2 linked regions of the Daphnia pulex genome follow. The protein of the gene in region 2 interacts with the protein of the main gene of each other region in a pairwise test. Links are inferred from orthologs where the notes say so. Each region holds a gene or a part of one and is shown on either strand. Other genes may lie near its edges.

Region 1 (4,441 bases), on a different chromosome or scaffold from region 2:
AGATGGGAAAAAGTAAAATACCTTTAAAGCTGATCCGGAATCCAGATTGCCGCTACTACCCAATCCGTTGAGGTAGAGGCTGAGTGCTGAATTGTGCATCATAGATGAGCACGATGAAAAATTGGTGGAATTCATTCCATTGAAAACGCCACTGTCGCCGTAACCAACCAATGGGCCGAGTCCAAGATCGCGAGCCAAAAGCGGATGCTCGTTGGGATCGGAGAAGGAACCGAGTGGTGATGTGCCGACCGAATCCAACGAGGACGGACTAGGCGAAGATGCCATGGCGAAATTTAAACGATCGCACCAAGAGATTTGTGTTTTATTGAACGACAACAACGATGATGACGACGATCGACACTAGTTGCAAATGGCACCTGGAAAAAGAAAGAAATTGAACTTGTTGCCACTACACATGGAATTGCAAGACCGACTTGGACAAAGAGAACATGATGAAAACACATCTAAAGAAAAGTTTCTAAAAGAGAAAATTCCTCGTCACGCACTTTCTCTCTCGGATCGTGAATGTGGCAAAAATAATACACCTTTTCCTTTTTGGCGTGAACGTGAAAGTAGGCCACTTTTCACCAGTTACTTTCATCCAAAAGATTTGGTTTTTCTTTTGTTGGGTATAAAATTCGAGAAAAATACATTTAATTCAGATAAACTTCCGGTGGTGAATCCGAATCAGTGCGTTTTGTGTTTGAGATCACAGTTCGTTGTGTTGGAGATGTACAAAAGAAGCTTTCCTATTGGCTACCGACAAACCCCTCTTGTTCTCCCCCCTTCTCTCTCTCCCCTGTCTGTACTTTATCCCTCCTTTTCCAAGAGGGGCTGTGTGTGTGTCTGGTTCTTCCACGTTCCCCTTCTCTACCTCAGGTTTCCGATCAATAATCGGGCGGCGTCCCAACTTCAACATGTAGAATGCTGCAGACAGAGGGTGTTGCTATCCGACGACGACGACGACGACTACCACACAGAACGTTACTTTCGATGTTATCGATCTGCTTCAAATAAGATGGCTACTACTGAACACGTGTTGCCTCGTGACGACGCCAAACACAAAAATACATATAAAAAGACTATTTAAAAAAATTAATTCACTCCAATCAAACGGATTAAGGCACGTGTTGCTGCTGACTCATCACGTGACGAACGAGGGAGAATCGATCCAACGAATCTCCATCCAAACTAATAACCCCCAAGCATTTTCCATCTCGGATCAATACACACACACACACACACTGAGCCCCCCCCTCTAAAGCGACGTCAATACTTTTTTCAATGCCCATTTGGAATTTTTGGAACAAACAACGAGATCCCAACGGTTTCAGTTTGGGGTTCTTCTCTACCACCCCCGCTGAACACAAAGAAACCCAGAAATATTCCACCCCTCTGAATCTCAGCTTCCCCATCCCCCACACATGGAAGATGTTTTTGGACACAGACAAAAATGTCTTTTCTCTAAACTTTATTGTGTGTAGTAGACCATCTTTCATATAGATTGAAAGGAGGAGGGGGAACATTCGAGAATGGGTCAAAAAACCCTGAGGAAAAGGGGGGGGGGGGTCAGGAAAAAAAAAGTGAGTACACCCATACCCCCTCTATTCTTTTCTTTCTTTTTGGTAGGCAGCTGCGCCATGTTGGCCGCGCACAACAGCTGTTTCCGTTTCAACCCGGGCTGACCCTCTCTCTCTCTCTCATCGTGACGACACTCTGATTCGTTGAATGTTAAGGGGGACGGTAACCATAGCAACCCACGTGCTCTCCCCCCTTAGTATCACCCTCCGACGCTGACACATCAGGGGTGGGGAGACAAAAGAGGCCATTGCTAAAAAATACAGGGCTGCCCTGTAACACAATCAAAAGTAGTTGGTAGGGAAGATCAGAGGCCCGAGGGGGTTCCTGCTTCCAACATCCTCCATACCGGAAACATGAAAGGGGGGGAGAGAGAAATTCTTTTTTCGGTGAATTCAAAACCCAACAAAAAAAGAGAGGGGAGAAATACGAGAAGTGAACGTACTTTCGTAATCCCTATTATATAACTGGTAGTGACCGAGATAATAAGAAATCTCCCTCTCGAGACAATCAACCCGCATTTTCACCGTTTGAAAAATCGTGACAATAGTCGTGTGTGTGTGTGTGTAAGACTGTCAACCCCACCTTCCCAACACACATTAAGTTGCCTTTCACTCTCTTGTAAAACTGGCCAGATGACCTGCTTTTTCCGCACGCGGGACACCCGCACGGTTTCTCTTTCTGCACGCGGCATTTCCCACCAACTGAAAGTGTGAAGAAGAAAAAGTACCGCTACGTTCGGTTACCACGTGCACGCGCGGGACTTTCACGTTTTCAAACGGCGCGCGTATTCAAAAATTCTACACCTGACCTCAATATATAAAACCGTACTCGAATAACATACCAACAATTTAACCCACCATCTTGCCAGACAAAACACGAGGGCCCCACGAGACAACTGGTTGCTCACACACACATGACAATGCAAGACAAAAATAAATGAGATTTGTGACTTACTGGAAAACTTAAAACGTTGAGACGATGTGTTGAGTAAAAGGCTGAAAAATAACGGCATTGGAGATTCACCACAAAGATGATGCCGTCATGACGTTGGAGCGTGCTTGTTGTGTGTAACAGTTCCTGGCAGCAGCTCTCAGACGAATGGAGCTGCTGACGAAAAGAATCTATCCCCTTTCCTTTCTCCCCTCCTCAACCAAGTGACACACTGCCGCCTGGTGGTGGCCGTGCCATCTGCCGGCTGAATCGCTACAAAACGAACAAAGGCTGCTGCTGCTGCTGTGTGAGTTTCTCTTCCCCTCTTCTCGCTTTCATGCCCTCAAACATTCGTCACCTGGCCATCACTTTATTATTACGAGAATAAAAACGAGAACAACATCGAGTGGCAGATGTTGCGAGACGAGTTGATTCTCTTGACTTTGAATAGTTGAAACAATCGTAAAATTTTATATTTTTCATGACGACGAATCAACAGTGGGTCACCACCACCACCACTGGTCGTGTCGTATTCCATTTGCGTGCGCGCGCTGCCTTCTTTAATACAATTACGTTCAAGATTGGCATGGCTACGGCTAGACGGCGTGACCTATCGATTCACTACTCCATTTGAACCCCCTCATTTTTCAATCCAACCAAGAAGAATGTGTGCACCACTGCAGCTGCCTGTCGCCTATGGCGGCTTTATGGGTGCCATACTTCAATTCCTTACCTGAATGTAGGTACCTGAAAAACGTTGCAACTATTTGTTGTTTACCTTTGTCGTGGAGACCCGACATCTCGACGACGACAACAACAGAAAAATTCTTTTACTTTTGCGGCAGTAGCTACTCTAGTCATCATCATCATTTTTATGATAGATATAGAAAGTTGCCATTGTTGTTGTTGATCTTGTGCTTTCTCTCCGGCTTTCTTTTTCTAGCCAAGTGTAAATGCAAAAAGAAAATATAACCACGCGAAAAATAATGTACACTGGAGGAGATGTATTTTTTCGACGACACACAAAAGAAGATCAGAGTTCGGTCACGGGGACACAGTCGATGTACGTTCTGTCCAAAATAAAATAAAAAGGACGATTAATCTGTAAATAGATATTTATAAACCCCCGAAAACTTTCGATCTCAAACACAAAACATTGAACGTGGAAAGTGTCTAGATAATAAAGTGAAAGCAGGCGTGACTTGGTGTGTGTGTGATTACAAGCCGAGCAATATAACAGTGCTGCTGAATCGTTCTCTTACGTTTGACCAAAGTCCGTTCGGGAAACGTAGGGATGGACTTTGATGGTGACTTTATTATCGGCTGACTGAGAAATCGTTACATCACGGGCCGACCCTCCACCAAGTGAAGTTGTGGAGGCAGCAGCTGCCAACGAAGCCATTTTAGCTTGAATATCTGATGATGGAGCCCGCCTGAATGTCGATAGGACAGGTGGTGGTCGATCGGGAGAGATTTCTTTTAAAACAGGACTCATTTCAGCTGATGGGGGTTTCTTTGTTTCTTCATCAACAAGATCAGAGGAAGGAAGTCGCTGCCTCAAACGGGCTCGAGAAAGTGTTTGATTCAATTCCGTCTGTAACTGGTTCTTGATGGCCCCGTCCAACGACTTTCCTACTCCGCCAGGTGATACACTATGTCTCTTCGGCGGCAAGAAATCCAATTTCGTAGGTTCAGGTCGCAATTCTTGATATGTACCAATCGACACTCGTACAGCTGGCTTAGTTCCTTCCGGTTTGCTGCGTATAGTAGTCGGAGTAGTTCCGTCCTTCTCATCTTGTCCGGATTCATCCATCTTTCGGGGTTTTTCAGAAAGATCGTAATCGGGAACTGGCACGGGCGGCGGTGGTGCTGGCTTTTTCCGTGCGGCGATAGTCACACCTGTCGGCAACGGCTGAATAAATAACACACA
Region 2 (3,818 bases):
ATTAATTAGTCCGTTTGTTTGTTTCAGGACTAGCAGGTCCAGCAGGTGGCCCAGCTTACCCAAATGCACCGTACGTTATCAATCAAGAGCCGTACATGCAAACTTTGATTGCAGGTAAGCCATTCGTGTTTGTTGTGGCTATGTTCAGTGTTTCCTCGTCATGCTACAGATTAAGCCTTTTTTCGACAGCTCTTGTTAATTATGGATATTTTCGATAGGTCACGCAGCAATGATGCCACAGTACTATGGCATGGCGCCATGGGGGATGTACCCAGGAGTCATCCCGCAAGGGCCTGGTGCTCCTGGTCAAGTAGCACCCGGTCAACATCAACAGGGCCAACCAAGACGGCCGATGTCACCCAATTCGCTTACTGATCATCCGCCTGTCCACCAACCAGGTCAATATCAGGTCATCCCAGCGTATTATGACCAAAATGGATCACTGGTGATGGGTAACATGAGAGGGATCGGAAATGGTGGCATGAACGGTCCCGTTCGCTTGATGTCGCCCGCTCCAATGGTAATGCAAAATCCAAGTGGTCCAAATTCGGGCAATATGAGACTGTTGGGCAATCAAGGACAACAAATGTCTGCAGCAGCCCAACAGCAACAACAGCAGCAGCAACAACAACAACAGCAGCAGCAACAACAGCCATCGCTTTACAATAATGGCCAGCAGCAATCTCTGTACAGCAACACCCCGGGTCCGTCGGCTTCGCACTCTCACAACGGTCCCAACAATCCAGGCCTTGGCGGCCTGCAGAACATGCAACCAAACTCTGGGTTGGGAAGTAATTTTGGAGCCTTGGGATTGCAGCAAAGCAATAGCCTGGGATTCGGTAATAGCGCTTTGGGATCGATTGGTTCCCCGTCATTAGGCCTTGCGAATGGACAAGGGAGACGCGACTCTTTTGATCGGAATTCAACGTCAACTTTCTCACCGTCTTTGGGTGAATATGGCAGAGGAAAGTGGCCCCAAAATTACGGTGCCCTCGGAACCGTCACTGCTTCTCCTGGCCCGCTAGGCTTATCGTCTGGCTCGTTGACTCCGCCGCCTAACATGAGTGGAGCCTCCTCTGGGCTTCAACTCGGTTTAGGTCCGTTTGTTTCTGGCGGGCGGCTCATGTCGGCTGCTCCAGGATCAGAGATGATGAAGTTCCGCAACGGAGCTACCACGCCCAGCAGCGTTGGAGCCGGAGGTCTGTTTGGAGCGGGGGCGGGCGGTTCACTATTTGCCAAGATGGGAGGTGCTGGCCGCCAGCCACAACATCCTCACAACGGAGTCATTGGCGTCGGCCTCGACAAGATGACGGGACGATCAAGGCTACTGGAAGACTTCCGGAACAACCGCTTCCCCAATCTCCAATTGCGCGACATTGCCAACCACATTGTAGAGTTCTCTCAAGACCAGCACGGATCGCGCTTCATTCAGCAGAAATTGGAACGAGCTACGCCAGCCGAAAAGCAGATGGTCTTCACTGAGATCATAGTCGGCACGTACGCGCTCATGACGGACGTCTTTGGCAATTACGTCATTCAAAAATTCTTTGAATTTGGCTCGCCAGAGCAGAAGAGTACACTGGCACAGAAGATTCGTGGCCACGTTCTGCCATTGGCCCTCCAAATGTACGGCTGTCGTGTCATTCAGAAAGCACTTGAATCAGTGCCATCGGATCAACAAAAAGAAATCGTTCGCGAGCTAGACGGACACGTTCTCAAATGTGTCAAGGATCAGAATGGTAACCACGTGGTGCAGAAGTGCATCGAATGCGTCGACCCCATGCAGCTTCAATTCATAATAGACGCATTTGAAGGACAGGTAAAGAGAGACATTTCATATCACGGTTAACACCTTTCATTAATGTTAATTTACAATTTTTTTTTCGTTTCAATAGGTTCTTTCGCTGTCCACGCATCCTTACGGATGCCGCGTCATTCAACGCATACTCGAGCATTGCACTCCAGAACAGACGTCTCCAGTATTGAACGAGCTGCATCACAATACGGAAACCCTTATCCAAGATCAATACGGAAACTATGTGATCCAACACGTTTTAGGTACGGATCTGCTAAGTTTAATATGCAGGCATAGTTGCACCGTTACTCACTCTTTTTTTTTTATGTCGGTGTTTGTAACTTTAGAACACGGCAAGCCCGAGGACAAATTGCGGATCGTCACAGCCGTGAAGGGCAAGGTGCTGTCGTTGTCGCAGCACAAGTTCGCCTCCAACGTGGTGGAGAAATGCGTCTCGCACGCCACTCGATCCGAGAGAGCAAGTCTCATTGACGAGGTGATCAGCTTCAACGACGCGAGTCCGCACAGTCCCCTACACACCATGATGAAGGATCAGGTTCGTGTGCGAATTAGTGACGAAATCTCATCGCTGACAGCTCAAGAGCTCTAACCGTCTTATCTTATTTTTCTCTTTCGCAGTATGCCAACTACGTCGTGCAGAAAATGATTGATGTGGCCGAGCCGTCGCAGCGCAAACTGCTCATGCACAAAATCCGACCGCACGTCTCCACGCTCCGCAAGTATACTTACGGCAAACACATTCTCGCCAAACTGGAAAAATATTTCCTCAAGAATAACGTCGATTTGGGACCTATTGGACCCCCGTCGAATGGAGTCATCGGATGAAGCAAAAGCAGCAACACCACCGCTACAAACAGCCAACGACAACATTATTAAAAACTACGACAGTTAACAACAACAAGACAAAAAAAAAACACATCTTGGTTTAAAAATTCTCAACTTTTGGTTCTCTTTTTCCTCCCTCTCCCATCTTCTCATAAAAATGCGTTGTTTTGATTGGGAAGCCAACACCATTTTTGTTATTATTAATTTTTTTTTCTTTTTTTAAGTTGACGGATATAAATCAATTTTTTGTGGGTAGGGAAAGGAAACGGGCAAGTTCTTTCTGGTTTTGTCAAGGGTAAAAAGTAACGTTCAAAACTTTCTTGGATTTCTCAACTGACCATTTGTACCATACGTTGTGGTAGTGTACATTGTACAGCTTTTTCCTTACATGTGTACATTGTACAGGAAATTTCCCTTCGTATTTTTTTACTTTAAACCTTTTTTTTTTCGACTTCATCTATCCTCATTCAATCGACTGGTCCGCATCCTCCCCTCACCATCCTCCAACTCTGCATGATATTACGTTATAAAGTCGGAAGGGGGAAGAAATAACTTTTCTCTTCCACCGTCTCATTCGAGTTTCTCTTGGATTCTCGATCGGTATTTGATGGATTGTGTCGATAAGTTTCGCGGCTGTGAATCATCAATCCACCGAAAATGAAAACAGCTCTGTGTTTGATTCTTTTCCTCTCTCCCAGATGTTCACTTCAATTCGCTAGATTTAAAGGGGTCGGTTTAGATCGCCATCTTGGTGGTCCATTATTTGATCACTTCCTTTTTACCCACTTCGTGTCTACGCTGAGTTGCGCTTGCTTATTGATTTTGTTTTCTCTGCTTCTGTGTTTCTTCGTAAATTTCTACAAGCTACACACTCCGTTTGGGAGATTGGAGGTGCCGTTGCCAATCAAGAAAAACGAAACAACTCCTTTCACCACGATTTGTTTATTTCATTTTTTTTTTGTTCCTTGTTTTGTTCATTGCTTCTCCCTTCCTTCATTGACTTGAGAAATGACATCAATTTCCCCTTACTTGATCCCAAAACAGAATTTCCCATCCTCAATTAGCGTTTTGGTTTTCTGTAAAGTGTACAGCGGCAAAAGTGAAAAGAGCGAACCTTTTCCATTATTTTACATAACAAAAACCAAGCGAAGTAAAAACAGTGGAAAGATTTTTGAAG

Evidence for each region.
Region 1: the proteins of pumilio homolog 2-like (region 2) and brain tumor protein-like interact in a two-hybrid assay, tested with the Drosophila melanogaster proteins (2 studies listed by BioGRID, with this or other methods). The link is inferred for Daphnia pulex from reciprocal best matches to the Drosophila melanogaster genes pum and brat.

The regions. Positions count from the first base shown.
Region 1 is NC_060018.1:6,794,563-6,799,003, forward strand, and holds the start of brain tumor protein-like, read right to left. Parts: upstream 2,971-4,441; 5' UTR 2,536-2,970; intron 378-2,535; 5' UTR 286-377; coding exon 22-285; intron 1-21. Other genes in the region: harmonin-like, read right to left, coding at 3,545-3,581, 3,774-4,423. UniProt on the Drosophila melanogaster protein: A NHL-domain family protein that functions as a translational repressor to inhibit cell proliferation.
Region 2 is NC_060020.1:2,897,376-2,901,193, forward strand, and holds part of pumilio homolog 2-like, read left to right. Parts: intron 1-27; coding exon 28-114; intron 115-218; coding exon 219-1,819; intron 1,820-1,895; coding exon 1,896-2,058; intron 2,059-2,142; coding exon 2,143-2,351; intron 2,352-2,434; coding exon 2,435-2,641; 3' UTR 2,642-3,818. UniProt on the Drosophila melanogaster protein: Sequence-specific RNA-binding protein that acts as a post-transcriptional repressor by binding the 3'-UTR of mRNA targets.